7 separate regions of the Mus musculus genome follow, and regions 1, 2, 3, 4, 6 and 7 are each reported to be linked to region 5. Evidence: microRNA targets listed by miRTarBase, many of them from high-throughput screens and not tested one by one. Region 5 holds a microRNA gene; each other region holds the end of a gene's coding sequence.
The links. Region 5 holds the annotated microRNA mmu-miR-26a-5p (UUCAAGUAAUCCAGGAUAGGCU, at 2,452-2,473, opposite strand). A microRNA usually pairs through its seed, bases 2 to 8, with sites in the 3' UTR of a target mRNA and lowers its output. Matches are read on the target gene's strand: a 7mer-m8 pairs with bases 2 to 8, a 7mer-A1 pairs with bases 2 to 7 and ends in A, and an 8mer does both.

Region 1 (4,364 bases), not on the chromosome of region 5:
TGTTTTAACCATTTAATATCCTCAGGTTCTTTGAGTAACATTTAAACTATCTTCTCCTTTCAAAATTCAAGGACTCTAAACTTCAGGCATTGTGAATACATAATGTCTTTTTCTGGTCAAACATAGTATAAATGTTTGAGAAATCAAGGCAAATTTTTTTTGTTTTTTGTTTTTTTGGGATTTTTTTGTTTGTTTTGTTTTTCGAGACAGGGTGTAGCCTTGGCTGTCCTGGAACTCACTCTGTAGACCAGGCTGGCCTGGAACTCAGAAATCCGCCTGCCTCTGCCTCCCGAGTGCTGGGATTAAAGGCGTGCGCCACCACGCCCAGCTAAGTTTTTGTTTTTAACATAGTGATTTCTATGTAAGTGATTTCTTTAAGCAGAAGGAGATTGTCCTAGCAAATGGCTTTCTCCTGTACTCAGTGATACATTTATTCTTGTGTTCTCACAGCTTACAGAAGAAAACACCAGCCAAGTCCCAAGGGAAGACAGCCTCCATGAAGCAGAGAGGGTCGAAGCCTGCGCGGAAAGTCCCGGCTGCCCAGAGAGGGAAAGTGAGGCCGCTGCCTAAGAAAGCTCCACCCAAGGCCAAGACCCCTGCCAGGAAAGCCAGACCCTCTCCCTCAGTCATCAAGAAGCCTAGTGGGAGCTCCTCCAGAAAGCCCATAGCCAGTGCACGAAAGGAAGCGAAACTGCCCGGGAAGGGCAAATCTGCCATGAAGAAGTCTTTCAAGACAAAAAAGTAAATTTTATAGGGAAAAGGGTATCATGATTGAATTCAGAATCTTACTTTATAAGGTCAGTGTGCATTTGTTCTAGTTATAATGCTTTTAAATTGTACTTTTTCTTCCCATGTGAGCATTGTGGGAAGGAATGGACACAGAGCAGCGTAGACATTTGTGAGCTTCGGTGCTGTTCAGTGCCTGCTTCTTCATCACCTTAATTTCTGCCATAACCTGGACTTCGCTGACTGTGTGACTGCCCTGCTCCCTCTGTTCATCTTAGCCCCAGCCCTCGTCCTCTTTCTGTGATCCGATTGAGGATTTTTTCCTCCTTCAAGTTAATTTAAACAACTGCAGAGATGTGTTTGTAGAGCACTTAGAGGTCTGGGGCTGGAAGTCCAGACGGCGCAGGAGCAGTGTTGGGAAGGCTTTGCGTCCTGCCTGCAGACTTGCTAGAGCTGTGGTGATTAACCCTGGCTGTTGAATCACTCCACTGACCAGTCTCCAGCTTGAGTCGGGGACATGTTAACTTCGGAAAGAAGCCCCCGTCCCTGCCATCCCATAGATTCTGAAGGGCTCCTCTCCTCCGGTCACGCTGACCAACTGCCAAGCTCGCTTTGCTGCCCAGAGCACTGTCCCCTCACAGCAAGCACAAGTTGTCTGCACCACTTGGTTTCTGACTGAAGGGGAAGTACAGGACTACATGGAATCTGATTTCTGGTGTTGCTTATTACCAAAAATGACAGAATATTCTTGATCAAATGTCTAGATATATTTTTAATATTTGGGGCATGAGTTGTCCCTGTTTGAGAGTTCCCATTACTAATGTAGAAATGTTAAATGGTAAAACATAATTTGCTAAAATGACCAGTTTTCAGATTCACCTGTGCGTGTGCCCCCCACTCCCATCCCACCCTGTTCTTTCCATAGAACTTTTGATATCAGGCAAACGGTTTCCTTTTTGAGATATTTTAACAGAGAAGGGGTGGGGGAGAAGCAGATGAAGCTGTACTACCCAGCCCTCTTCTTGTTTGTATTTGTTTAGGGTTGTGAGGTTGTGTAAAATAGTACTAGCTTCTTACTTGAGAACTACAGTTTCTGCTTATCATTTATTCTTCCTTGTGGCACTTAATATTTTAATTGTCTTAAGCTTTTTGATGTATATATCCTCTGGCCCCTTACATGCTGCCAGAGGAGAAGGTGTTTGTTTGAGATTCATTCCACTTGAAGTGTCTCCTGGGATCCCCACAGCTGCGTATGGCTGGGAAATGGACTTAAGGCTTGGGCTTGAATTGGTGGCTCCTACCTGTGAGGTCCCATCGTGAGTCACTGGGATTTGTGTTGCATGGAAGGCAGTCTTTCCTGTTGTAAATCTTCCTTTTTTATGTACAAATATTTTGAAAAATATGAATAAACATGAACTTTTAAAAGCTGCTGAACTACAGCTTAGTGAAAAGTTTCCAGTACCTGTCCTGCAATCTCTCCTCCTGCAAGGGATACCATGGCTTCCTTTTTCTTTTGAGTTCTTACTTTGATGGTCATTTATTTTATATATATGAGTACACTGTAGCTGTCTTCAGACACACCAGAAGAGGGAGTCAGATTCCACCAAAGAGTCATCTTAGGGGCTGGAGAGATGGCTCAGCATTAAGAGCACTGTCTGCTCTAACAGAGGACCTGGGTTCAGTTCCCAGCATCCATATGGTAGCTCATATTTGCCTCTAACTTCAGTTCCAGGGTTTCTGACACTCTCACACAGACATACTTGCAGACAAAGCACCAATGAACATAAAATAAAAGCAAACTTGTTTTTTAAGAGAGTCATCTTGAGGCTGTGGTGGCATACACCTTTAGTCCTGGCACTTAGGAGTCAGAAGCAGGCTGATCTCTGAGTTCAAGGCTACCCTGGTCTTTAGAGTGAGTGACAGCCAGAGAAACCCTGTCTGAAAGAAAGAGGGGGTGGGGGAGGGAGGGAGGGAGGGAGGAGTCATCTTTATTGAAAAACTTTTCTCAACATCATAAGAGCCTAGTTTTTTGTTTTTAATTAACATACAAAATTCAGGTTAGACTGGGGAAAAAAATGACAGCACAGTTACAGACAGTAGCCCACCACAGAGATCTCTCTCTCTAGAAAGCTTGAATTCCTCATATGTGTGCCAGGGACTGGTTACTCATAGGGTATTGTTAGCTACCTGAGCCAACAATTCTCTGCTCTTATGGAATCAAAAATTGCAGGTCGGTTTTTCTGTGTTATACAGTATTGCTTGTACAGAGGTTTGCTGACTGCTCAGCTGGCCCCTGCCCCATACATCAGACACTGTAACTTGTACTATGAGAAGCTGGGGTCATGTAAGGTCTCTCTCTCTGCTCTGAATGCGCCTTAACAAAAGTTTAGGGTAGGACAGTCTGCTTTAACGTCCCAGGAAAGGTAAAGACTGGATCACTCAGCTCCAAAGGCCCAGCTGTCCAACACATACACTTTCATACCTGACAGAGAGGCTTTTGATTTCTGTTTTCATCTGTGCACTCTGCAGAAGACATTTACAGACTTTACTTTTGTGTTAAATGAGAAGAGAAAACGCAGGAGGTGGGTGTCTGGCCTAATGGTCTGTCTGGTTTAATAGTCTTTCATAGACTCTGAAGTCGCCTGCTCCAAAGTGGTTGAAAAATGAGTCTCTGAAGATGCTGGAAGCAAGGTGGTTGGCTTAACTTGTATTCTCAGAGACTCATTATTACTTTATTCCGTAGTAATGTGATAAAGGCAAAGTTTATTAGCACAGGTTAGACCTAGTCCACATGAGCATAACTGCAGGAAATCGAGTCCTGTATACACCCCAGAAAGGACAGGCTTGGTGGCCCATGCCTGTCAAGGCAGCAGTGGGAGCTGTTTGCATCATGTCTGTTGACAATAGTTTGAGTAATTTATGGAAAAACAAGATCTAAATAAATGTAACCCTTGGATATAAACTTGGCTTGTCCATTAATTGTTATGTAAACTTGTTACTTAGCTTTCTCTTGCTGTAACAAAATAGAAATAATCTCTAAGGAGGAAAGGCATTAATTTGTGCCTTACTGTTAAATTCCTGTCATAGAACACCATGACCAAGGCAACTTAGAAATTGTTTAATTTGAGCCTCAATGGTTTCAGAGGGTCCAGGATCACCATGGCAGAGAGCATGACAGCAGCCACTGGAGCAGTGGCTGAGAGCTCACCACCCCCCTCCCCCCAAGACAGGGTTTCTCTGTGTAACCCTGGCTCTCCTGGAACTGACTTTGCAGACCAGGCTGGCCTCAAACTTGGTAATCCACCTGCCTCTGCCTCTGCCTCCCAAGTGCTGGGGAGAGCTCACATCTTGATCCACTAGCACAAAGCAGAGCACTCAGTGTGAGTAGCATAGGCTTTTGAAACCTCAAAGCAGACCCTGATGACAAACCTTCAGCTATGTCGCACCTCCTAATCCTTCCCAAACAGTTCTACCACCTGGGGAGCAGATATTCAAATATATGGGCCTGTGGGGGTTCTCATCCAAAGCCTCACAGCTTAGGCTCTCAGTGATCGGGCAGGGCAGGGCAGGGCACACCTCCTAATTAACTTCCTCCCACCAGACTGCTACCTTTTAAAGGTTCTGCCACCTCCCAACTA
Region 2 (4,364 bases), not on the chromosome of region 5:
ACTTTCAGCCTCCAAAACAGTCAGTGACATAAACCTCTTTTCTTAATAAAGTACCGACTCTCAGGCATTTTGTTATAGCTACACAAAATGGACTAAGACAGATGGATGGCAGGGGTGGCTATAAATAAAGACAGGTGATGCCCTCAAAGAGAATCTTAAGCTAATGGGGGAAGGGACTGACTAGTGTATAAAGACTCTGGTGTCTTGTCTTCAAGTAAATGAACCTGGCGTGTTTCTCTGATGCTTCTCAAAGTTAACCCTCCCCCAACCACTGTTTCTTACCTCTCAATCGTGTCCTGTGTCATCTTCACTGTTGTTCTTGTTGGAGGTTTTGTATTCCACAGAGCCTAGGAGAAGCTGGGATCCCCTCTTTTGTGTTAGCTTTCTGTGTGTGTGGGATGAAGATAGGAGCTCCAGCATTTCCCAAGGATTACACTTATTCTGAAATATGCATTATAGATTCAACTCATTCATTGGGCAGAATACCTGTGAGGGAAATTCCAGCCACTGCGGCTGTTTGGAAATCCACACGAGAGTATTCATTTCCTCCCCAAACAGTAGATAAGACAGGGAAGTTAGACCAGAGAACAAGACGGGAAGTTTTAAAACTAATCACACAAGCATGGTTTCTAAACAGGAACTCTGAAGACTGCCCTAACAAGGCGGGGCTGCATGCTGTCACCAGAGGGCAGCAGAGTCCAGGGACCAGAAGGCAAAAACCCAACTGTTCCTAGGCAGATCTGACGGAGACAAGGCTGACTTACTTATACTGGGCTTTGCTACATGTAGCTTATTGTTCTGTGCACAAGGCAAAAGGATACAAAGTACAAAGCAGAGATCAGAGTTCAGAGCTAAAGAAAGAATGCAATAGAACAGAACTGAGGGGTAGTTCCTCCCGCCACCCAAAGACCCAGTGGTCTGGGGAGTGCTAACACCTGGCTGGCGCTAGGTGCTCAGGCAAGAACAATTGCTAGATCAATAAGAGACAATGTGTGTATTTGCTTTGCTCTGATCAGAATTTAATGAGTTCTTTTGAACATGCTTTCTTGAATTTCTGCTGAGGTTGGATAGATTGTTTAAATGCTATTTATTGCCTTTGGCTACCCCCTGTAGCCTGCCTTTGCTATTGGTGGGTTCTTTTTTTCTTCCACCCTTCTCCAACCCATTTCTTCCACTGTTTCAACCTCCTAACACTAGATAGGAGAGAAAAAAAGGATAGATTGGGAAAACCGACATCTTTACTGTTAGAGTACTTTCTGCTGCGTAGGGGTATCAAGTTTTTGGGGGACAAGTTTGCTCTTCAGGATATCTAGTTTCTTCTTGTTCTTGTTTCTTCTTTGCACAAGACTACCTTAAAAAAAAAAGACATCCAGCTCTTGGGGCCCTAGCGTTTATATACTCTCTGAAGAGTCCCCCAAATTCCCAGAGTCACACGATCGCTGAGAACTGTCTGCCACTGTCAAAATGGCGCCCCTGCTACAGCAAGAGGTAACATAGTCAGCTGCTGTGGACAGTCTGAAGTCTGAAGCAGCCCCATGTCCTACACCTGGGACTAAAACAGAAATGTATTATTTTTCTTAAATGCATGTATGTATGTATGTATGTATGTATGTATGTATGTATGTGAGTACACTGTAGCTGTCTTCAGACATCCCAGAAGAGGGCATCAGTTCTCATTACAGATGGTTGTGAGCCACCATGTGGTTGCTGGGATTAGAACTCAGGACCTTAAGAAGAGCAATCAATGCTCTTAACCACAGAGCCATCTCTCTAGCCCCAGAGTGTCTATATTAACTCCACATCACTGTGTTCAGGAAACATCACAGAAGAGGAGGCATAGAGAATGAGGAATGCTGGGAGATGCTGTCTTTTTTATGTTTACATGTTTTATATGTTTATTGTTTTTTTAATTTTTATTTTTACTACTTTTTTTTATATGTTATTGAAATCATGACCTCACAGTAGCTGTGGTCACCTGTGTAAGACCTATCCAAGATCAAGTTAGCCAAAATCCCAGCATAGATGATTGCCGGGCTAGAGTTTATACTGAGGAACTGTGGGCAGTGGGTAGGTATTGAGGGATGGGGGAACTTTTTGGTTTTTCATTGTTTGTTGTTTGAGATGGGATTTCTCTGTGTAGCCCTTGCTGTCCTGGAACTTTGTAGACTAGGCAGGCACTGAACTCAACACATCCACCTGCTTCTGCCTCTGCTGGGATTAAAGGCATATACTATGACCATACCCAGCCTGTCAGCTTTTTATTATCCCATTGTCCAGAAACTGGGTACAACTTGCTCAGAGTGATAACATCTTCCTCCTTCTAGACCAGTCAGTGTCCCTCCTTCCTAGTGATAATGGAGTCCAGTCACCATCAACAAACACCAATGGGTCTTTGCTGGTTTCTTCTCAATGTTTTATTTTTCAAAATATACAATTTATTTACATCTTTATTTCACAAGTGCAGTTTTGTATATTTATCCCAAAAATCTCTAGATAGCTTCACCGTAAACAGTACAAATCATAGACTGGTCACACTGCCTCTCTTTAGTCTTTGCACCCATTGGGTTTTTGATAAGTTTCAAGTAGTAATCGCTTGTGGGTAAGAAAGGAACAAAAAGGAAGGCAAGATGATTTTTTTTTGTCTTTTACATAAGCTCAATACATAGGATTAGAAAGGGCCATCTGACCAGCTACTTCATTTGGGGCCAGATTAAAAATATTTATGTAGCTTATAAATAAGACTCAGGAGCAGTGAGGGCTCTGGTTACAAGGAAGGACAGTCTGGGTGGGAGAGGGTGGGTGATAAGGCACCACATACAAGTCCCTTCTTGGCTTCAGGAGGCACTTCTGGGAGGGTCCTGAGTGGGGCAGGTTTCTACCTGTGCAGATGGAGGCCAAGTATGACCGGGGCTAGGCTGGGGCTCTCACCAACGTAGACTTCTCCAGCCTCTGTTGGGGAGCGGTTTTGTGGTTTGGGCAGGGAGAGAGGAGACAGAGAAAGCCACTGCTGATCCCCAAAGACAAGGGCCAGGGCTCCTGTCAGCCTTGCAGAGGATGCCAGGCACCCTTGTGCTTTCTGCCCAGGCAGACAAGTACTGGATTACTTCCGCAGCTGATAGTACAGCTGGTATCTGGGGTTGGCAGGGCCCATAGTGGCTGTCCTGGGGTCTGGGAATGGCCTGTGGGAGGCATCATGCTGTTTCTTCTTGGAATAGCCCTTCATTTACTTCTGAATCATCAAACTCTCCCAAGAAAGGACAGGAGAATACGATGTGGCCACAGGCCTGCATGCCATGCTTCTGCTGTGACACCGGTCCCTCTGCTGCATGGGGAAGCCCCCAGGGAGCCCAGGGTTCTAAGGCACAGGTGGGGTCAGTTTCCTTCATGCCCCTTGGGGCCAATGTCTGGACCCTGAAACAGCACTGAGGGCTGAAGCTTAGGCAGGAATGCCAACGGGGAGGCCATCATTCTCTGGGAATGAGCCAGTCCCCAAGGGCCACGGCTATCAAGAGGATGCTATCCTCACACAGGAAGCCGGAAGGGAAGCCCTGCTTTCAGGTCTCCACCAGGCCCCAGGGCTAGACAGAGCCCGTCATGCCTGGCCAAGCTGACCTCAGCAGGTCTAGGTGGAGGTGGGGGGTAGGACATGGGTGGGGTCTGGGGATAGACCGAGGGCAGAACAGAGGGTCTAGGGGTTGTCACTGCATCTTCGGGTGGGCTTCCTCTGGAATGAGGGTGTGGAAAAAGTAATCCCACAGTTTAGTGCTGATGCCAAACCCTGCAGAGGGAGACAAACGGGATAGAGGATGAGGTGCTGGTCGAAGAGAAGAAAGACATTTACCTGGGGAAGGCGAGCTAGGAAAGAACCAGCAGCCAGGGACCAAGGACCAAATACCTACCTGTGTTTGTCCTGTTTCTGGGTTGGCCTGGCCCTACCTGTGTTCCCAGGTTTCCCCCCTCCAGCTTCCCTCTCTTCCTTGCTGGGACAACTCCATCCCTATCCCAGGGAGTTGTTCCTGGAATTCCAGCTTCCCAGACATCAGACACTACCTTCTTTTCATTTGGGCTCGGCTCCAGTGACTGCTGCGGAGACCTGTTTCTTGAATTACATTATGTGGGCTTTATATGTCAGCATGAATATATGTCAGGTACAAGAATCACTTGACTAATGAGTCCTGGGAGTGTGGCTAGGATCTTCAGAGGAACTCATTTCTGATTTCATTCAATTCAAATTATTTTAAGTTTTGATGTGAACTCAAACATTTGACTCAGTTACTGGACAACTCAGAAGTATGTTTGAAGCAACTTATATTGGTGAACCTGTATTATTATTAATTATTATTATTATTACTATTACTATATGT
Region 3 (4,000 bases), not on the chromosome of region 5:
GGTACGGATGTCTTGAATCTCCTTTTGCACCCCCAGGTCTTTCCCTAGGACAACTGCAGGCGGGAGGGCTCGTGATGGCCCAGGTGTCAAAGATGGGCCCCTGGTTCTCTCCTAGGGCTGTGGGCTTGGGCTTTGGGGAGCCGATATCAAAAGACCCCACCTACGCACTTAGTGGTGAAGCAGAAAGCAGATAAAAGCCAAATGGGTACCAACAGAAACCAAGGGAGGGGGCTGGAGCAAGGCAGACCTGTGCCCACCCATCACACGTGGTCACGACTCCTGTGGAACACTGGGGGTAAGATGTCCCAGGACTCTCACCAACTTTGCCTCCTGCCAGAACTCCCAGGCTAAGCCCCGCCCCCGTTCCTCCTGGGACCTCTGAGTGGTCTCTCAAGGCACATTTACTCTCTCCAACCTCAAACTTCCCCAACGTACACCATCCTTCCCAGCACCCAGGGCTAAGGAGGCTCTTAGTAGGGCAGCTCCAGGGCTCGGCAAGATGTGGTGCTGCCGTAATTTGGTTGAACTCTTTCCAACACAGCCCTACCTCTCCTGCCCGCAACAAGGGAACGGGAGCAGGCAGGAACACGGATGGAGGAACTGGGCAGGCAGCTTATTCAAGGATGAGGCCCGCAGGACCGACAATAATCTGACCTGTGTGACCTTGCTCCTGAGGAAACACGAAGCTTGCTTAACTAGAAGCTACTTGGGAACCTTCAGCCCCACCAGGAACAGCTGTTCTGCCTACCTTTGTGGGACTCGGTCTCAGTGGGGTGAAAAGCAGTATGGGGTGGGGAGCGTTTTAGAGAGGGACAAACTTCTGGACCCCTGGGGCCTGCCACAGTTCCACGCCTTCTGCTTTCTTACTAAAACATGTTTACTACATCAGATACAAAACCAGAAGATCCAGGGACACACAGAGCATAGCTCCCCAGCGGGGCAGGGCGGGGCAGGGTGAAAGAAGGGGATGCGTCTTCCTCTACACCACCCCCTCCCCACCCCAGAGAGCCTAAAATCCTTCACAGCTACCCGGGGATGTTCTGGAAATCCAGCTGGGGCAGAGAAAGAATCAGACTCCATCCTAGCGAGAGCAGGAAGTTTCAAGTAACTCCAGCTGGAGGGAGGAGGAAGGGGAGGAGGGGGAGGAGAGAGGGGGGCGGGATGGCTGCTTCTAGAATGCAGAGGGCTGATGTGACTGAGCCAGGGACCAGAGGATGGTTGCAGAGGTCTGAGGAAGGGAGGGAGGAAGAAGAGGATGGGAGCAGGTGACAGTCACCCGGAGAGTCAGAACTGTGTCGTGGAATGAGAAGCACTTTATGGAGCTTGGTGACATTTCCGTATTCCCCCCGAGGAGATGACGATTAAGGTGGCCATTCCAGGGTGGCAGAAAGGAATGGGAAGGAGGAGGCTCTTCCCTAAAGTCCAACCGATCAATACTCAGTGGATGTGACCAGCCAGTGCCCCTGAGAGGCTGGGGGAGAGCCAGACTGGGGCTTTGTCCTGGAAGCCTCAGCACAAGGTCCCCAGTAGCTAGCTGCCCAGCCTCTTCCACCACACAGGGGGCTGCCCTCACTCTTCCTGGGCATCAGGGTGGCCCTCGGGTATTCTCTCTCTCATTCTCTCTCATTCTCTCTCTCTTTCTCTCTCTCTCTCTCTCTCTCTCTCTCTCTCTCTCTCACACACACACACACACACACACACACACACACACACACACACGTATACGCGCCACACACACGTACGCGTACCAAAGGGTATCAGAGGCCCAGGTAAGGAATTCTTCATCAAATATATCAAGGAAATTTCCTTTGAGAGGGGGAAGTGGGGAGCAATAGACACACAAAACCCCACAGGACATCTGGGTAAAAGCCCCTTCCACCCGGCCTGGAGGTCTGAGGGCGTGCTGAGGCATGGCATCAGGGCCTAGCTGCTCAGTGTGGTCCCCTCTGATAGATACACCGTTCTCTATTCATATATGCTATAGGGCTTTAAATAGAGTCTGGGGCATGGTTCTTCTAGGGCCATCTTGGGGACCCTTGAGACAGAGGAAAGTCATGGCTGAGAGGACTAAGGCTTTGGGGCCTCTCCTCCAGGACCTTCTGGGCACAGGAAGTCACAGCTCCCCGTGGTTCCTCACAAGGGTCTCGGGGACACGCCCTTCTATTGGTCGGGGCAAGAGGGAACCATTTCCTAGAGGGTCAGGGAGAAGGTGAGCAGACACGGGCTGCTTGCTGGTCCTCTGCTCCTTGGGACAAGGGGGACCCTCGCCAGGGAACAGAGAGTGCAACTGCAAGCCCTCATAGCAGGCTACTCCAAATCTCAGCTATATGATGACAGTCCCCATTCGCCAAGAAAGCAGCCCAGAGCCCCATGAGGCCACAGGTGCTGACTGGGTTAATCTGAGGCCTGAAATCAAGGGACCCATTGTCCTCTGTCTCATGATTTCTGCCTCTTCTGCTGAGCTATCTCTGGTTACTCGGGACTAGGTTGAGAGATAATCTATCAGGGATGTCCATGCTTTTGACATTGTGACAGAGGATTAACTCCTCAATCCAATTATCAACAAACAAACTAACAAAAAACAAACAGCAACAAAACCCCTGTGTTTTAAGTAAGTTTACCTCTTTGTGTTGGGCCACAGAGACAGCTATGCTTAACCACGTGCAGCCCAAGGGCCATTAGACACACCTGCGACGAGCTCTTCGGATGTCAGGAGACGGATAGTAAGCCTTGCTGTGTGTACAGGTCCTGCCTCATCACCACAAGACCGTGGTGGGGCTTTCATATCAAATCAGCCCAATTTGGGGAGGACGCTCAGCTTTCAGCTGCCTGCCCTCCCTCCCTCTCCCTGGCCTCAGAAGAGGAAGGAAGAAAGGCAGGATGGGGTAGGGCTGATTAGGCAGGGCAGGGATTCCAGGTGTTGGGCTGAGGGGCAGGATCAGGGACATCTCATTGATTTTGGTCTGTTAGTGTATCCTTGTGTGTGAAAGTGTGCATTTGAAAATCAATAACATAGGGACCTTTGGGTGACTCACATCACACACACACACACACACACACACATCTCACATACACACATCTCACATCACACACTCACATCTCACATCATACACACACATCTCATATCACACATACACACAAGCCACACTCCCCAGTCCTCCCCCACTGGAGCCAGGGTCCTCCGCACTGACTTCCGGATCCATTTGCTAAGTTGCCTGCTGTTGTCCAGGTCTCTTCTGGCCTGTCTTTCTGGCCGTCGGCACCCTGGCCTGCCGAGGCCGTCGAGGGCTATCTACCAGATGTAGCCTCCATCATCTGCCTCACCCGCCTCACCCTCCTCCTCCTCGGCCTCCTCCCCTGCCTCTTCTGTCTCCTTTTCTTCCTCATCCTCCCAGCCAACGCCGCTTCCAAAGTCCCCGGAGAAACCCACGATGTCATCTGTTGGGAAAGCACACGAAAGGCCGGTAAGGAACCCACACACTGTGTCTACTTTCTGAGCCTGGAGTCCTGCCCCACGTACGCCACCCTGAGAACTAGCCGCATGCTCCTTACCACAGTCAGGGGTCCCATGCATGCGTGTGCCGGTCAGCTCCAGGCCCAGCTGGTCCACACACCAGCAGTCACCTCTGCTCTGGTCACACTGCATCTTCCGGTAGTAGCCATCTTCATCACAGCTCGGGATGAAGACACCTGAGGGTTAGGGCAAAGAGCCCGTAGTGTGGGCTCTGGAGTCGTGTGCGAGCAGGGGCCTCGATGGCCTGAGAACCTGGCCAGCTTGGTACTGATACCCACCCCCTAAGAAACCAGACACTCAGGGCTACTGACTGGAAGCACAAAGCTTCCTTCCCCAATGTCCCTGTGTCACATGCTCAGGCTTCTTCAAGGATGCTATCAAGTGCTGGTGTCATGGCCTTCATCTTGTAGGACAGTCTGGCCCCACATGTTAGAAAGCTCGATCCTATTCTTGGTTTTGTCTCCAGCTAGGAATGTGGAGTTTCTC
Region 4 (4,364 bases), not on the chromosome of region 5:
ACCTCGTAGCAATTGCTTAGGCTTAGAGTGTAGACGCCAACCCATATTATAGACATTTAAAACTATAGACTTAAGGTACATTTACTTACTTGTTTCATGTGTGGATGTGCAAGTGCCACAACATTTTAGTGGTGTCAGTTTTCAACCATGTGGCTTGGTGACTGAACTCAGGTCTTTGGCTTGATAAAAGGTACTGCTGAGCCATCTCACCATCCTCAAATTATAACTTAATTGGAATTGCAACTTTAGCTTCCTCTTAGTTTTTTGTTCAGTTCCATTTTAAAACATCTTTAATTGAATAGTCATATTATTTATATTTATTGACTACAGTGCGATGGTTTGATATATATGTATACTATTGAACAGTTAATTCAAGTACATTTAATTTTGTTAAGCTTGAACATCTTTTGTTTATCTTATTAAATATTTAAAAGACTCATGGCATTATTTTATATTAGAATACTTGAAATTGTTTAAACAATTTTAATTTATTTTATGACACTACTACTTGATATATTAATCAGAAAATGTATTAACCCTCTAAATATGTGTTTGTCTTTGTAGCTACTGGGCATACCTTGCTTTGTTTGAATAGCATCAATATTAGAAAATCCCTTGATACTTGTTACATGTTAGTTACGGCATTGTATCGTTTCTGACTTAGTTAAGAGTCCTCTGAATGATACAGTAGTTGACTTTTCCTTCTTCCTTTTACCTAGGTTTTTGTAGAACTTACTAAAGAGCAAGAGGAAGAAGATAACAGCTGTGGGACTTTGGCCAGCACTCTCTGGTGGGAAAGGACGCAGGAGGATAGAGTAGTATTTTGAATGTTTATGCTCACCCAGCCTACCGACCCTGAGTTGGTTTATTCTTTTTTATTCTATTTTTTTCTTCTTTTATCTTATCTTTGATTTTAAAAGCTTATTACTTGAATAGTTATTAAAAAAAATGAAAGCACTTGGAAATTTCTTAAAGTCCTTAATTAACACACCATGGTTATGGTTTGGATTTTCTTTCAATAAATTTGCGTGTAATTGTCCATGTGCATGTTTATATCTGAAGGTAGTCTATATGCCTACCTTCACGTTTCACAAAAACAATATTTCTCAACTTAGGATTTAAAGAAATAATAAAAGAATAATTCTGAATAATATTTAAATTTTATACTATGTTACATAATTATGTAATTTCCCAGTGCTAATTAAAAAGACCAGTGCCTGACTAATAACATAGAAGAGAGACACAAAGCAATGCAGAAACTGGCTTTCCCTTTGATATGTCTAAAAGAAGCTCTTAGTGGAAGTTGGCCTGTGTAAATGTGGAACCGTTGAGAAGTAACGTCCACTAGGTGGCAGTCGTTGGTCACAGGAAATAAAGGGAAGCCGCAGTCTAGTGACTGCAGATATGGGCAATTAAATGTTTCAGGTTGTATGTCTTTTGTCTACATTAAAATTCAAATGTGTTTGGTGATCGTTATTCACAGAAAGACTCTGACTAGAGTCTTAGTATGTAAGAGTCCAGGTCTCTGAAAGTGCAGTGACAGCTGTTTGTCGAGGTGGCCAGTTCATCTCTACTTCCCTCCAGACACCCGACTGCGAGCTGGGAGAGAGCGCGTTGTTGCCTTTCCTCATACAGGGCTCATTTAAGTTTATTCTTAGATGAGACATTTAATGGATAACCATCTTTATTACTAAATTTGATTCCTTGACTCTCTTGAGTTTTAAGTAGGTCAGCATATACCTTCCTTTAAAAGGTCACCTCAGAACATGGTAGAATATAGGAGCTCTTTCAAGGGTTAAATTAAGAAATAAAAATTAGAGTTTCACTCTTGTGACAGAGTTGAAATATGATAATTAATCTTAGAAATATTTGATTTTATGACTCATATGGACAGGTATACAAGTATATGATGTAGTTGATACTGTATTTCAGGCTGTTGTATATGTGTTAGCTTTGTAAAAACATATATTGTGGTGTGACTTTTGCATCAGAGACGTAAAGAACAATAGCAAGAACAGAGGGCTTGCTACCAACTTTCAATGGTCAAGCTTTCAGTGAAGTTATTAATTATTTAATGTTGGGAAGATTTAATGAACTTTTAGTCCTGTTGGGTAGTAAAATGTGTGACTTTAGGCACTAGTGGCTAATTCAAGTTTTCCTTTCTCAGTACAAGGTGGCACATGGCTGGCAACTTTCTCTATTGCTTTGACAGTTTCTTTCCACCTTCCTAAAGGCATCTGTGTAGTCTCGTATCTCAGAGGTACTCTAATGTAATAGAACCATCCTACAAGTCTGCTTGGATTTTATGACACGCCCCTCCCCCAAGTTCTTGTAAGGTTTCATTGGCAGTAGCTTGCCTCCTGATACCAAATTATAATTTTGGATCCTTTAAGGATCTTACATTTAATTAATCATTTAATTAATGATTACTGCATGACCAATATAGTCAAGATGTATTTAAGATGAAATCTTTATTTTTGCTGATAAATTATAAATTGCACATTGTATTTTCTCAGCAAGTCATTGCTAAATGGTGCCGTAAACTTGAAGAGCTATCTTTTAGAATTTAAGTACCTTGGGCCTTTTTTTGGGGGGGATGTGATTTTTGTAACTCTGTAACCTAGAACACATACCCTTAAAAACAAACAAACAAGCTGCATTTATAGTTTACTAGGACAGTTACCGAAAAGGGTAGGTTTCATTTGTGTCTTAAAAGCGTTTGGCCCTCCTAAGACAGAACTGTCTCATAGAGATGGTGAACACAGGCCATATCGCCTTCTTTCTCATATAGACTTGGTCACTGTCTATTAGCATTGCTCAGTGTGTGCTCAGTGTAAAATATAATTTTCCTAGGGAATGAAAGTCGAGACTGCACTGTCTAGTCTTCTATATTGTGTGTTCATTCATATTACAGTGGATAGTTTGGTTTTATACATGGATTTATTTTAAATTATCTTAAATTATTGCTTTCAGAACTTTGTTTCTTTTCAATACAGGTAAAGAAACAAGTGTATTTGTTAGCAACAAATGAAAACAAACTGCAGCGTCACCTTCCTGCCTTATATTTTCCATCTGTGGCCAAACAGTAAGAGTAGAACAAAGGCAGACTCTGCCGAGTTGAAGGCATTGCTGTCTGCAGCAGAGGGGCCGGTCAGGAGGAAGCAGTGGAAAGCGTTCTGGGAGGTTTGCCTTCTGTGGGCTCTTCCCTGCTTTCCATGCTGTTCTTAGGAAAAAGCAGGGTTCTTTTTTTTCCCCCAAAACTTTAATTTGTCAGAGATTATTTGTAGCCAGTTTTGGTTTTCTCTGTTAAAACATGTTTCGATACTTTAAGCACACCTTCCAGTGACTGCGTTTCAGAGTGGGCTCTTTGGGTAGAAGGATGAACTGTTCGGCTCTGTAAGATCTTACATTTTATTAAGACAAGGATAGATACTTATAACCAGTTATGATATGACAATGCTTTGCTACTAGTCTTAAGAATATCTTCTAGGAAAATGAATAGCACAGTTAATTTTACTAGGGTGAGTGTTGGTTTCCCGGTTCTTTGTTGGTCACTCAGCGTCTCATTCCGATCGTGCGTTTCACATTTGTTACAATGCCATCTTACATTTTCAGGTAGCATTCAAAACGCAGGACTTTTTTTTTTTTAAATAGCAAATGCTTTTAAATGCTTTTTCTTAATGTATTTTTAATATTGTTAACATTGAGTTCTCATCTTTCCCCTTGAAATAGCATATTACATAAAGTGAGAGAATTTATTCTCAGGTGAATTATTTTTGTATCAGCTATTCTTATAAGGTAAAAATTTACTTGTTTTCTATTCATAATGTGTTATATGTACAATTCTCAATGCTGCCCTTTAAGAAAAATGAATGTGCTTATATTATTAATAATAAACTTTAAGAGCTAAAAATCTATGACAGACTTCAGTTTGTATACCAAAATTCATTTAGTGTTCATAATTAGATGTGTGACTTAAATTCAAACTTGAAGCAGTCCTCTGTGCCTAAGATGGTAATATCCCTTAAGGACCCACATAAATGAAGGGATAAGAAAACATTGGGAGGAACTGCAGTTTAATCATACTCAAATTCAACAATAGATAACCAAGAAAAAAAGTAAGAGACTCTTGTTGCTTAGCGAGCCACTGGACATATTCTTCTCATTCTGTCTAGTTGAAAGTCAAAAGAACTTACAACAGCCATTTACCATTTACATGCAGAGCCCTGTGCTGGGGAGGGTGACTATTACCAGAAATGGGGTAATTCCAAAATTATTTATTTAAAAGTGTTTTATTTTTAGTATTACAATTAAAGTTTGCATTTAAAAAATATCTTATTTCTGTCATATGGAAAAAGCCCCAG
Region 5 (4,364 bases):
GCTCAATGAACGTCTGCTTGATGGGAATCTGGGGCTGTGCTGAGCCGTTCACATGGGCCATTTCATTTAATGAACTCTAACAGGCAGATGGAATTATCCCCAATTAGACAAGAAGAAACCAATGTGCCAGAGGTAAAGGAATTTACCAGAAACCATTCAGCTCCCAAGGCTATCAGAACTCCCAACATTCTGTGCCTGCCAGTGACACTTGACACCTGCCTCTTAACTTGTTCCTCCCTGAAACCTGTGGCCATCAAACACGGGGACACAGGGACTCTAAAATCTGGCTGCTCTTCAATGCGTGAGGGAGACTCCCCCACACCTGCATCCATCCACAGTCACAATGGACGGGTCTTGTGGTTTTGTCTGTGGATAACTGGTTTCAGGTGGCTGCATAAAGCAACTTCATGGAGCATTTGTTCCAAATGCTCCCAGTCACCATGGTAACCAGAAACCTCTCAGCCTAGCAGTGTGCACATGGCCTGCATCTATCGCATCTGGGGTGGGAACCTGTCACCGTAAAAATAGCTTCCTCCACCTTAACAAAGGGCTCTTGGCAGCTTGGGGGGTGTGGTGGAGGGTGGAGAGGTTGGGATGACGGCTGGGAACAGGACGCAGGATGCAGGACACAGGATGCAGGACGAAAAGGACGCACCTTGGCCAAGCTGGCAGTAAAGAGCACACACTCAAAGAGCTGCCCCATCCTCTGGAGGAACTCGTCCACGTGAGGTCGCTTCAGCACATACACCTGCGGTGGGAGGAGACAAGAGCTGTCAGTCATAGCATCCAGGGACAGCGTGGGCCTTGGAAGAACTGCCAAGGGGCCCTTCTCCTGTTGCCAGGCCTATGTACGATTTACTGAAGCTTGCACTAGGTTCTGCGTCTCAACCCTTGTAGAGAGAAAGGAAAGCCGACCACGTCGTCAAGGTTCTTGAGTATCTTCGGAGCCAGTAAGCAGAGCACAGCTGTGCCATGTCCAGTCGCAGTTGCTCATGCATCCACTTGGCACTTGCTGAGTCAGCCCCTATGTGGCCACAGGCCACAGCCTAGGTGCTGTCCTTCTGGAAGTCTAGGACTAGCTGCGGCCTCCAACTCTGAACATCCCTGCCCCCTGGGGTTAATGCACTTGAAAACTTTCTAGTGGACACCATGGAGGTCACCCTGCTTGTGTAGGGGTACAGAAAGCACTTCACATGGGTAAGGGGCTGCTTCCCACAGTTGGGCTCTGTGTATCCTTCTGATCAGACCAGACAGGCCTGCGAAGCAGCTGGTTTCACCTAACACCCAGGCTGCAGTCTCTGGAGGCTAAAGGAATGTGTAGGAACTGGAAGAGAGAAAGCAAAGCCAGGGAGAGGCAGTGGGCAGAGGGAGGGACCAATTAAAACTTGAGTAAATTCCACTAGAAGTTAGCTACATCTTTAAAATAAAACATAATTACCAGGTCTCAGCGCTGTGCTCAGTTCAGCTACAAGGCTGAATTGGAGCCCCCAATCCTCTGGAGACTCGTGTGGTGGGCCTTGCCGGCTCAGCTCACTCAGTCTTGAGCACACACTGACAGAAATTAGTGAACACAAGAAATCTCACAGTGGGGTATTCATTCAAGATAATTCTCCCTTCCAGAGGGCGTCTCAGAAAGCAACATCTGGCCTTGACCTTGAATAAAGAGGAGCTCACACGCTGAGAGAGAGAGAGAGCTGAGCCTCCAACCCGAGCAAAGTGTGAACGTGAGGATCGGAAGCGTCACAACACTTGGGTTTGTGTTGGGCCAAAGCCTGTGTCCACAGCCAACCATAGGCAGTGAGAGAAGCCCTGGAGGCTGCTCAGGGAGGAAGCAGTTAAGGTAAAGAGCTAAAGGTAGCAGTAAGCCACAGGGCCTCTAAGGGCAGACAGAGCAGGGGAGGGGGCTGCGGAAAGGGAGAGGAGACACAAGACTGCACCCCATGCAAGGAAAACACACTGCAGGACAGACTTCCTAGATGGAAACACTGCTTTGCAGCATGCCAGGAAAAGGCGCTTCCTAGGGCAAAGACCTGGAGAGAAAGCGGCTGGCTAGCTTTAGGAGTGGGTTGGGGGTCTGGCTCTGCAGCTGAGGGTGGAGAGAGGGGCCAGAGGAATATAGGTGGTCTATCCTGGGTGCCACCAGGATCCTGCTGAGCTGGGGTGTTGGGCTAGGCTGAGGGCAGAGCTGTGTGGCTGTAGCAGCTGCAGGACCTGCTTTGCTCATAACACTCGTTGTTGCTGGTGCCAGTGACTGGGTGTGGCCTCCGGTCCTGAGTCTCCGGGAGGACTGCTTGGCCAGCAAGCTTGGCTACAGGCAAAGGGTTGGAGATGGACGGGGGAAACTCTGTTGTTGCCGCCTTTAGCAGAAAGGAGGTTCCTGGGCCCAGATGCCGGCGTCCAGGCCCGCGTCCCCGTGCAAGTAACCAAGAATAGGCCCCTTGGGACCTGCACAGCCTATCCTGGATTACTTGAACGAGGCCACGGCCTTCGCCAGGGCCTCGGTCCTCCAGCTTTTGTACCTTCCTTCTCTCTGGAGTTTCTGCTCCCAGCCCTGATGCCCGGGGTGTCTACTGCCAAAGAGAAGGGGCAAGGGAAGCCGGGGTGGGTCCTGCACTCCGGACGTGCTTGTGGCCACGTGGTGTGAAGAATTATTTTCTTGGGCAGTCCTCCTGAGCCTCACCTCAAGGACTCTTCGACTTTAGACACAACAACCAGCGCAGAGGTCCTAACTGCATGGCGGGGGTGGAGTTAATTCAGTTGGTGCTTTGTGAATGGTAAGTGACCAGGTGCCTGAAACCTTCCCAGGTCCTATGTCCTGTAGGACAGGATAGAGAGCTAGGTGGGGGTAAGGGAGACAGGGGGAACCAAGTCTAAGGAAAGAGCCCTGGCTTAGGAGTCAGGAAATCTTATCCTGATGATTGTCATATATAACCTTCTGTCTGGGCAACGGAATGGCTAAAACAGCTGATTTCACAGCCCTGGATTGTTCTAAACTGCACTCAAGAGTTAAGGAGCCTTATTGGCATCGTTAAGAAATGACATCCTGTGTGGCCCAGGAACCAGGAAATGTCTGTCCCTTCCTGGGATATGAGGCCAGATACTCTCCCCTTAAGGCCTTGAGTTTGATGGGGGAGACAGTCTGTCCCATCACTCCTAAGAAACATGTGGCAAAACTATATCTACCTTAACCTCCAAGGCGAGCTTTTCTACCATGTTTCTAATGTATTCATAGACGAAGTCATTTCCAGAAGAGCTTGCTGATGACGAAGAAAAAATAAAGAAGAAGCAACTCCCCCAAACAAACAAACAAACAAACAACCCCAAAACAGAAAACCCCAAAAACCGGAAGAAGATTGATGCCAGCTGACGATGACAATTTATGCACAGCACCCTGCTGGTCTTAACACACCCTTCCCCTTTGCTCTGGGTTGAGTATTTGCTAAAAAAGACACTGGAGAAAACCACATGGGCAGAGAAGCTCTCACGGGAGCAGTTGGCATCAAAGTGGACATTTTTCCCAAGAATGCTCCGTCAGTGGGTGACTGGTGGCATTTTCCTGTTGCTAGGAGAAGCCAAAAGCAAATGCATGATGAAGTTGACCAGATGTCAAACCCGGCCAGCGGTGGGGACAACTAGGGGATTGCACAAAGGCTCCTAAAAGTTGAAATCAAATCAGAGATCATACCTAATATTTATTAACAGAAAAGGGTCCTCATAAACACGGTAAAAAGCAAATGCATGCATGAGGCAGAGAATCATTCACAGTATTTTTATTTAGCTTTTGAGACAGGGTTTCTCTGTGTAGCCCTGGCTGTACAAGGACTCGCTTTGTGGACCAGGCTGTCCTCAGACTCAAGAGATCTGCCTGCCTCTGCCTCCATGCCTGGCTTACTATACTTATTATACAAAGTTTGTTTCCTGAAGTTAGAATAAAATGGCCACTGAAGTGAGAATTGAAAAAATGATGTTCCCAGGGAGTGTGGTTACAAGAAAATGCTCTCTGGAACTGCAGGCTAACTCTGGTTCCTTACCTGGTGTATGGTTCCGTCGATTTCAACAGGAACAATGAAGTCAGCATTACTAATGGGCTAGAGAGAAAAGAAATTGTGATTAATACATATGAAAGGAAAGAGAAAATTGGAAATTGTAGCAAGAAAGAAGCTTGCCTGGACCAATGTTTTGACGATGGCAGGAAATAGTTCACAAGGATGCTGGCAGAGGCCTTGGGTCCTTGAAATAAACATGTAGGAAGGAGTATTTCTTCCTGTCCTGAGTGTCCTGGAGTTCCAGCATCTAGCCCAATCTCTTGGACACCTGCCTGCCTCAACTGCAAAGGGTGGCATAGTCTGGCAAGAGAATGGGGC
Region 6 (4,364 bases), not on the chromosome of region 5:
AAAGCATTTACACTGGCCACCTTAGTGAAGGTTATGCTGCCACCACCACATTACACCGCTAGGACACAGTCCCATCTCAGGGACAGAACAATTTCCTTCACTTGTGTTACATGTTAGGCACAGAATGGCAAAGAACTATAAAGGAACAAGGTGACTCCCAACCACTCCCTCAACTGTTGCTGCGCCCCTGCTAGGCTGCAGAGCGTACTCTGGAGGATGTCACATAAGGGGATCTGGCTGGACTGACAGGTGTCACCTTCCCTCATAGCTCAAAGGCTCTAGAAGCATTCACATGGTCCCAGTGAAACACAGGGATCAGGAAGTGCAACCCTACCGCATGCCCAGAGGGTAGAGAACAGAGTCCAGGTGTGAGCAGCATTGAATGCCTATAGTCCTCCACCCCAGGGAAACGTAGCTCCCAGAGAACCTCAACAGACCAGTGCCTGCCAAAGACCCTGGGATAGGGAGCAGGACAGGAGAGTTCGAGTCTTCTGTTCCCCTGCTTCGTCAGGATGGCCTCTCCTGGAGCCAGACATCCATTAACGTGTCCCTCACCCCGTGTTGTGCCGTGGCCACCAACATTAAAACTGCTTTCTTCAAGAACATCCTCTACTGCCGAGTGCTCAGAAGCCAGAGCTGTGCTCACCAGAGGCTCTTTCATGGGTCTGTGCCAAGCATCCCATCACCCCAGGTGGGCGACACCTCCTTTCTGTAAAGAGGGAACCACACAGACATAGATGTTCACACAGGGAAGCTTCCAAGTTAGTTTTAGAAGGGTGGTTGGGAGGGGTGTTAAGCTTCAGGGTTTTTTGTTGTTGTTATTGTTTCTTCTCAAAAGCTGATGCACTCTTAGGGGACTCCAGAGTGGGGCCAGCCTGAGCTATACAATGAAAACCTGTCTAAAACCAGGATGAAGCTAGGAGGAGCCATATGTTAAAATATATGTAATGTTGGTAAGGTTAGATAATTCAATTGCTTAGGAGAGAACTTCTATCTTGAACTGTCTTATTTACAAAAAACCTTTTGATTATGTTTATGTATGTTTGCCTGCATGCATGTGTACTATGCATGCCAGTGTCTTGGACGTTCAAGAGTGTTGAATCCTCTTAATCAAGGGCTACAGAGAGTTGTGAGCTGCCATGTGGGTGTTGGGGACTGAACTTGGGTCCTCTTCAAGAGCAACAAGTGCCCTTAACTGCTGAACCATTTCTCTTGCCATTTAAAATTTAATATATATATTTATAGATGGGGCACAGGTTGCAGTAAGGCATGTTGAGGTCAGAGGGCCACTTTCAAGGCTCAGTTCCTGACTTCTACCATGTGGGTCCCTGAGATCAAACTTAGTTCCTTAGGGTTAGTGGAAGGCTTGCCATCTCTGTGGCCCTGATTATCACTTTAAAATCAGCAACCCAATGCGATATGCTACATTGGGACAGTAAAGGTTTATCTGTGGCAAATAAATTCTGAATAAAGTACATAGCAATGTGCCAAACATGGCCTTTTCTTGTTGGTTACCTCCTGAGTCACATTCTTACTGGACCTTTGGCCCCACTACTAGAACCCACACCAGTGTCTGGTCTCATTTCCCTGTGCCTGGCCTATCCCATTCTTCCTGACTTCTGAGGTTGTGCTCATCCAAGGCCAAGCTTATCAAAACAACACTCTGGAAAGCCTTCCTTACCCCTGCCATGTTCTAAGGCAATTGCATCTGTTAAGAGCCCAGAAGCTGGTGCCTCAGCAGTACCAAGAAGGAACCATACACGTGAGGTTCAATGGTCACTCCCGGATAGGAACATGCAGAGCAGTCAGAAGTTAGGCTGGGCTGCAGTTCCCTCAGCAGACACAAGAATTCTAAGATGTCTAGGGTGGGGTGTCCTTAAAAGGGAGGGCCCTAGACTTTGGCCACCTAGGAATGAGATGATGGCCACACAGGGTCAATCCCAGCAGTTGGGGACCCAGCCCTTCTTGTCTGAAGGGAGTCAATACATTGTTGCTGTTGTATCATCAAGACTGGTAAAGAACAGGAGTCAAGTAAAAGGCAAGTAAAAGGACTGGTCTCAGAGGCTAAGACTGTGGACTTGCTACTAGGAATCAAGACTTTCCTATTCTCACGTTTCCTACAGCAGTCGAAATCCCCTTCTGCTTACCCAGACTCCCAAAACTGGAGAATGTTCATTTAAACTAAACACAGGCCACTGAAGGAAGACTTCACTTAATATTTCTTAGTAACTCTCCGGGCTGATCTTTTCAAGCAAACGAATACTTTTATTAACATGTAAGATTTTGTTTTCAACATGGTAAGGGTTTTGACCTCAAACGCTTATCAGGTCTGCCACTCATACATTTATAGTTCGACTACATATGAACCTTTAAGACGCCTCTTCTTTTAAGTTTTGGGTCCATTGCAGGTTTTCCTTCCTAGGCCACACAGGGTATTGCAAGGATCTTTCATTTTATGGCCAGGATCTCCTCGAATATATGGGGATACCAACTTGTACAGACTAACAAGACCTCTTCTCCCATCCGAGGTTCCATTTCTTTTAGAAATGAGTTAGGCTGTCCCAACAAACTCACCAGGCAGGTTACAATAGATAGTGTAGCACATAAAATTTAAATTTTGCACAAAATACATCTCTCCTCCTTTGGTCTCACACAGAAATTAAAGTCCCCCAATAGAAACAATACTATCCTCCGACCCTTCTCCCAGGTCATCAGTCCTAGCCATGTAAGGCCCATCCACTGTCCCGGATGAAGTCTGGTCTCTTCTGCCATTGCTGCATGGAGTCTTCGAGAATTAACACAGCTCCTTCAGAACTTTCAGAGGCGGTGAGCTTCAACTCTGAGTCTCAAGTGTCACAGAGATTCAAAGTTCAGGGAGCTATCAGGTCACCCAAGAAAGAGCAAAGCACCTCAAAATTTAGGAACAACAACCAAAGGCCAGGAATGAACGTTATTCAACTGCCACAGGGCTTACAATCTAGGCCCTAATTCCCGTATGTGAGCGCATTTTCCAAATCAAAGTTATTTCCCCCAAACAAACAAAAAAAAGGAACCACCGAATAATCAAAAACTCATATCGAGGTCGTCAACCGCAGACCATAGCAGAAACGTAGTGTCAGTGAGAAACAGAGGGAAGACAGAGGGGAAAAGAAAAAAAAATAAGAAGGAGATAAAAAAAAAAAAAAAGGAAAACAAAAGGCTCTCTGGTTTCAGCTTCTCCAGGGTGTCATGTCAGCCAATCGCCATCACTCAACCAGAATCCATTGGCTGGAAACCTAAGGCACGGGCGGGAGAGATTCATCACCGAGAGGTTAATCACGCTGTCCGGACAGCAAAGCAAATACCCGGCCCCCTTCTGGACGCTGTCTCACTTAGGGCCCCATGCTCTCCAGCACCATCTGGAAACTTCCACGGTCTCCCCGCCGACGATTTGCTATTACTCCTTCCCCAGGGGGGGCCTAGTTTACTCCCGAGGCGACAAGCCAGCCTCCTCCCCCACCGTCGCCCACGCCCCGCCAGGCTCCCGCCCTTACCGCGGCCGGCTCCTCACGAAGACTCGCTCTTCTCTATCCGCCGCACGAGCTGCACCAGCATCTCGGCCATCTTCGCCATCTCCTGCGCCTTCTCGTCGGCCTTCTCCGCCCGGGGGCCGCGGGGCTCGGCGCCGCCGGCACCCTGCAGGTGGTTGAGGGCGCTCTCCTCGGAGGCCTCGACCTGCGTCTTGATCTGGATCAGCATATTGTCCATCTCCCACAGCTTGCCCCGGTTGCGCGCCGGCGCGCGCCCGCGCTCGCGCGTCAGCGACGCGATGTCCTCGCGCATCTCGTGGATGACGGGCAGCAGAAACTGCTCGAAGTCCTCCTCGGGCTCCAGCACCTCCACCTCCTCGGGCTCCGCCAGCTCCACCGCGTCCAGGGGCCGCATCGCCGCTGCTCTGCTCGTCTGCACGACCCTCACGGACGGAGCTCGGGCCGAGTCCTCAAAACTTCCGCCGCCGGTCCAACTTTCCGCCTCGGAGAAGCCACGGAGACGAGTGACTGCCGAGCGGGCGAGCGACGAACAAAATGGAGTCTCAACCGTCAACCAGCGCTCGGCGCTTTGCGACCCCTTTCACGACACCTCCGCGCCCCCTCTTTACGGCCGCGCTGAAAGGGGCGGGCGCGCTCGCGTCCACGAAGGGGCGGGGCGAGCGCCTCTGCGGCCGCGCGCTGACATTAGGTCGGCCTCCCTTTCGCAGCTTTTGCAGCTGCTCTGGGTGATGCGAAGTTCGTCCCTTCCTGTATCTTATTCCGATTTTATTTATTTACTTTTTGAAACAGGACCTCACGCTGTAGCCAAGGCTGGCCTGGAACTCAATTATTTGG
Region 7 (4,364 bases), not on the chromosome of region 5:
ATTCATTGTGCTTGCTATGTGCTTGGTACCATTTGAAGCAGTGTACCTGAATTAACATACTTAGTACTTTAAGAAGCATTGGCCTTTACCTTTGAAGAAAGGAAGACAAAATTTACCCAAAGGCATCTGGGAGTTGACAATTTGAAATCTGTTAGATTTAAGGTCCTGTATCCTGCTGCTTGTAATTTTCAGACCCACCAACACTAAAGCTGAAGAATTATAGCTTACAACTTATGTTAATGCCAAGTGACTAGGGTGACCAGGTACTAACAAATGCACAAGGTAGATTTTAATTTACAATTTACTTATTCCTATTTGTAGCCAGCAAGTTGCTCAGCATCTTTGGCATCAGAATAGCACTACTAAATAGGGAAGCCAGATGGCTTACTTTTGCATAAATCAGCTTAGTGAATGGTAACTCTCTAAGCCATTGCTGAGTCATAAGCCTTGAGGTTTTCTGCTTTCTTGTATTTGTCCAACTCCATCACATCTTCCTTCTATTCATCCTATTTTTATCTCTACTATCACTCTATCCCTTCACCCTTTATTTTGAAATCTAGTTAGGGATAAGACCAGGGTAGGGTCAATTGCACAGGTTAGGTCTGAGAATGGAGAACCAAAAATCTAGCTTAATGCATACAATGGGCCAGAGGGGTTGGCTCGGGGAGCTCTGATGAAATACAACCTGGCATTATGTCCTTAAACGGTCAGCCCTGAGTAGTAAGGAGGGGGGGGGGTGTCCTTTTCAAACTTTTGCAGTGCTTATGAACCCAAGGTTCACGCGATGCTCCTTCCATGTTGATTTAAGAGTGAATTAAGTGGAGATGAGCTCAGTAGTAGTTAAGCTGCTTGGGACTAGAAATGGGGGTTCAGTTGGTAACATAGTCTCCCATGCAGTAAGTCTTACCAAATAAACTGGGCACTGGTATGCATCTATAGTTTCAGCAGAGGCTCAGTTTAGGGACAGTGCAGGGGAAGCAAGACCCTATTTAGTACTCCACCTATCTCGAGTACACTTCCTGCTTGCCCATATTTCCTTCTCTTCTCACTGGCCTAGTTAAGTGTTTATGTACCTAGTATTTCTCAGGACCTCCTTAAGATTGAGGGCTCAAGCTAGCTTTTAAGATCTCACAAGCACATCTATGTGGTAGAGCACTTTTGAGATGGTCTCACCCCAGGACACCCCCAAATATAAATTATGTAGCTGAGGATCTCAAGTTCCTAATTGTCCTGTTCTTGCCAGTGGGCAATTTGTCATTTTTGTCTTGAGCAAGCAAGCCTCTAAAAACTTGAGATAAGGACTTGCTATTCTTGAATAATTGGATGGATACATGAGCCATTCTGGAGACTACCAGCAATTTAACTATGTCTATCTTTGCCTCCCAAGTGGGAGGATTAAAGGAACAAGCTGCCATCACCACCAGGCAAAGAAAATCAATACATTTTGTGTAACATTAACACCATAGCAGGGTTTCTGATTGCTATGAATTAAAGCTACATGTCTATGAAATTAGTCTCATCTTAAAGTCTCTTAAATGGCCAGGCAGTGGTGGCGCATGCCTTTAATCCCAGCACTTGGGGAGGCAAAGGCAGGCGGATCTGAGGCCAGCCTGGTCTACAGGGTTCCAGGACTTGAAAAACCAACTCTTAAATGTTTTTAGTGCCAAGAAAGAGTAAAATACCTATCTAGCATATAGACTAAATTCCTGCCATCACAGAAGCCTCTTGACCCCTGTTCTGCTTGCTTCTGCCATCCAAAAGGCAGCACTTAATTGCCAAAGCCTTCAGACAGTGTTGATTTCCCAGGACGGATCTCCAAGTGTGAATAAAAATCCTGACCTCCATAAACCGTGGTGCATGCACAGTATAAGCCAGGCTTTCTAAATCACTAAGCTTTTATCGTAGTCCTGGTTGAAAACTTTATTGCTGGCAATGGGTAGCAGATGCTATAAATTTTAGCTCAGAAAGCAACAATGGACAAGTAATAGACACAGTTTGGGTAGAACCTAGCATTTTATTTAGATCTTCATTAAACTGTTGGAATTGAGAACCAGACATACGTAATAAACCTCCAAAAAATAGATCCTGAAAGGCACTTTCTTGCTTAGGGCAAGCAGTCATGGAATAAGCATGTAAACAAGCTGGCTTCTCTGTACCACACCAGCCAAGTCAGCTTTCTCCATGGCCAGCTGCACCAGCTCTGCCCTCCCTTCTGTTAACACCAGCCAGACCCCCTGTAGGTCTAACCCAAGGTTTTTCTGTAGGACACCTTGGCCTACCTGGGAATGCTGGAAACATGTTAAAGGAATTCATGGTGTTGAAGAAAAAAAAAAATCTTTTAAAAGCTGCCATCTGAGGTGATGGCTTCTCTGTACTTACGCCATACCCCAGAATACAATAAATAAGCAATTAGAAAATGTTCAAGTATGAAGGGATTTCCTCCTCCCCGCCAAAAGCACTGCTCTCTGAAGGAAGCTGGTTTCTCTGTAGCTACACCAGCTGTTCAGAAAGCTCATTGGACCTGGTTTTGAAAATAAAACAAAGTTAAAACCCTGGGAGGAGCTATTGTGCAGTGTGGAGTACTCTTTCTTATAAAGAAAAAAAAGTTACCTGGTACCAAAGTGTGCAACCTACAGACCCTCAGGTACTGCCCTGTGACTTCTCTGTATATCACAAGGGTGCCAAATGCCTGTTTTTCTAGACTAAAAGTTGGTGAGGTTTGGCTAGTGCTGAAACCATGCATAGGGTTGGTTTACTAAATAAAACCTTATTACGTACGTCCTCCAAAGACAGCTGAAAAGTGGAGAGATTTTGATTTGGTGCTGTTTGAGGTGGCAATTAATAGCATAAGCACCAGGGAGATGGTTTAATCGTAACTGCCTTTTTTTTTTTTTTTTTCAAAGTCAGGCTAGAGCTCCAACTGAAACTTTCGTTTCATGCAAGATTGATTGGATAGGAACACTCCCTGATAAAGAACTACATAATTAGAAATGAGTTACAGGGAGGATAAGGACAGGGGCTTCACATTCAATAAATAGAGCTCAAGACGTTACAGATTCATGCTGACAGGGCTGTGGCATTGCCAGAGTCTACAGTCAAACTACAAGTACTTTACGTGCACACTACAAGGATGTTTTCAGCATCTGGTGGGAAAGTAATTGCAATTAGGACTTTGGAGGATTAGGTGATAGGGCACAAAGGTTCGATTTCAAAGCATTATTCACTACAGTGTTTGTTTCTAGGCAGTTACATGGCTCACCTATGCTCACTATATCCATTATAATGGTGAACAAAACACCTAGGGACAGAATAGCAAGCCCAACTTACAGTCCCCCACAAAAGCTAAAATTCATGTCATTGATTAGAGTGACTGCAACTGATCAGGAGCTGAAAGAGGACAGAAAAATTTAGGAAGAAGGCCCTTTCCCTCAGAGCTTGAAGGCTTCTCTGTAACCTACGCCAACAAGTCTGGGGAAAAAAGGCTAACACTTTCAATATTTAAGCTTTTTGGGCACTTCCCATGGGAAGCTGTCCCTACCAAAGTGGCCATAGGCTGCAGTCCTCTGATAAATTGGCTTCTTCAGATCCAGATCCCTGGAATATACAAGTCCATAACTTAATATGTAGCATTAAATTAAAACAGAGCAAAACAATCAGCAAGACTCATTTCAAGAGTTCTGGCAAATGAGTTCAGTTCTCCCTGGGGTTTGCTAGGAAAAAAGTTCATGGCGAAAGTATTTGTTACTTCCCTTGTGTTACTTGCAGTTTTTATTAATAGTAACTACAGTTCTTGTTTTCCAGCTCTGGCTTGACAAATGAAAACTTATCATTCTCAGGAATTCCAATTGAATACTTACCAAGGTCCAATCACTGACCACTATGGTTATTTTCTTTGTAACTTTGAGCATCCCACTTTAGCTTATTCTTAATGTAGCACCCTTAGTTAAGATAAGCACAAAGCTCAGAATCAAAGATGGAGAACTTTCTAGAATGTTATTTTAAGTCACAGAACACTAACTTAATCAGCTAGATCCCTGTCTGAAGACAATTTAAAATATTGGCATGTTCTAGGAATTAAAATTTGTTTCCCCTCACGAGAAGTCTACCTCTATCTCCTCAGATTTTAGTATATATGTCCCAAACCCCTATCTCACTAGCAATAGGTTTTACCATCTTTACCTGACAATGACCCCAGGGCGAAGATCAAAATTCTTCTTTACAATTTCTAATAGCTCTCTCTCACTCTTCTGAGAAGTGCCATAATGGAAAATGGAGATCGACAATGGATGAGAAACTCCAATAGCATAAGAGACCTAAAAGTCAGAAATACATTGTTATAAAATAGGGAAGTATTTGAAATATTT

Region 1: miRTarBase lists Hp1bp3 as a target of mmu-miR-26a-5p. Seed matches in the 3' UTR shown: 7mer-m8 at 1,801-1,807 and 7mer-A1 at 1,944-1,950.
Region 2: miRTarBase lists Fa2h as a target of mmu-miR-26a-5p. Seed matches in the 3' UTR shown: 8mer at 2,578-2,585.
Region 3: miRTarBase lists Spock2 as a target of mmu-miR-26a-5p. Seed matches in the 3' UTR shown: 8mer at 1,100-1,107.
Region 4: the mRNA of Abca5 is a reported target of mmu-miR-26a-5p. Seed matches in the 3' UTR shown: 8mer at 926-933 and 7mer-A1 at 2,543-2,549.
Region 6: miRTarBase lists Mrfap1 as a target of mmu-miR-26a-5p. The part of its 3' UTR that is shown has no 7-base or 8-base seed match.
Region 7: the mRNA of Mat2a is a reported target of mmu-miR-26a-5p. Seed matches in the 3' UTR shown: 8mer at 2,420-2,427.

Annotation. Positions count from the first base shown.
Region 1 is chr4:138,240,996-138,245,359 of GRCm38, forward strand. It overlaps Hp1bp3 (heterochromatin protein 1, binding protein 3), which reads left to right. Exons shown (of 13, transcript NM_010470.3): 13 at 451-3,688. The coding sequence ends at 745. Among named protein-coding and RNA genes, the nearest start is that of Sh2d5, 7.2 kb to the right of the region's middle.
Region 2 is chr8:111,342,744-111,347,107 of GRCm38, forward strand. Fa2h (fatty acid 2-hydroxylase) reads right to left here. Exons shown (of 7, transcript NM_178086.3): 7 at 2,395-3,778. The coding sequence ends at 3,699. Among named protein-coding and RNA genes, the nearest start is that of Mlkl, 6.7 kb to the left of the region's middle.
Region 3 is chr10:60,130,774-60,134,773 of GRCm38, reverse strand. Spock2 (sparc/osteonectin, cwcv and kazal-like domains proteoglycan 2) reads right to left here. Exons shown (of 11, transcript NM_052994.2): 10 at 3,553-3,690; 11 at 860-3,438. The coding sequence ends at 3,293. Among named protein-coding and RNA genes, the nearest start is that of Mir6906, 6.0 kb to the right of the region's middle.
Region 4 is chr11:110,268,922-110,273,285 of GRCm38, reverse strand. It overlaps Abca5 (ATP-binding cassette, sub-family A (ABC1), member 5), which reads left to right. Exons shown (of 39, transcript NM_147219.2): 39 at 720-3,917. The coding sequence ends at 827. Among named protein-coding and RNA genes, the nearest start is that of Abca6, 19 kb to the right of the region's middle.
Region 5 is chr9:119,029,920-119,034,283 of GRCm38, reverse strand. It overlaps Mir26a-1 (microRNA 26a-1), which reads right to left and starts at 2,488; the gene lies at 2,399-2,488. It overlaps Ctdspl (CTD (carboxy-terminal domain, RNA polymerase II, polypeptide A) small phosphatase-like), which reads right to left. Exons shown (of 8, transcript NM_133710.3): 5 at 4,032-4,088; 6 at 656-748.
Region 6 is chr5:36,792,670-36,797,033 of GRCm38, forward strand. It overlaps Mrfap1 (Morf4 family associated protein 1), which reads right to left and starts at 4,085. Exons shown (of 2, transcript NM_026242.3): 1 at 3,534-4,085; 2 at 2,198-3,275. The coding sequence starts at 3,924. The coding sequence ends at 3,547.
Region 7 is chr6:72,430,802-72,435,165 of GRCm38, forward strand. Mat2a (methionine adenosyltransferase II, alpha) reads right to left here. Exons shown (of 9, transcript NM_145569.5): 8 at 4,180-4,313; 9 at 1,995-3,594. The coding sequence ends at 3,492. Ggcx (gamma-glutamyl carboxylase) reads left to right here. Exons shown (of 15, transcript NM_019802.5): 15 at 1-305. Among named protein-coding and RNA genes, the nearest start is that of Particl, 5.7 kb to the right of the region's middle.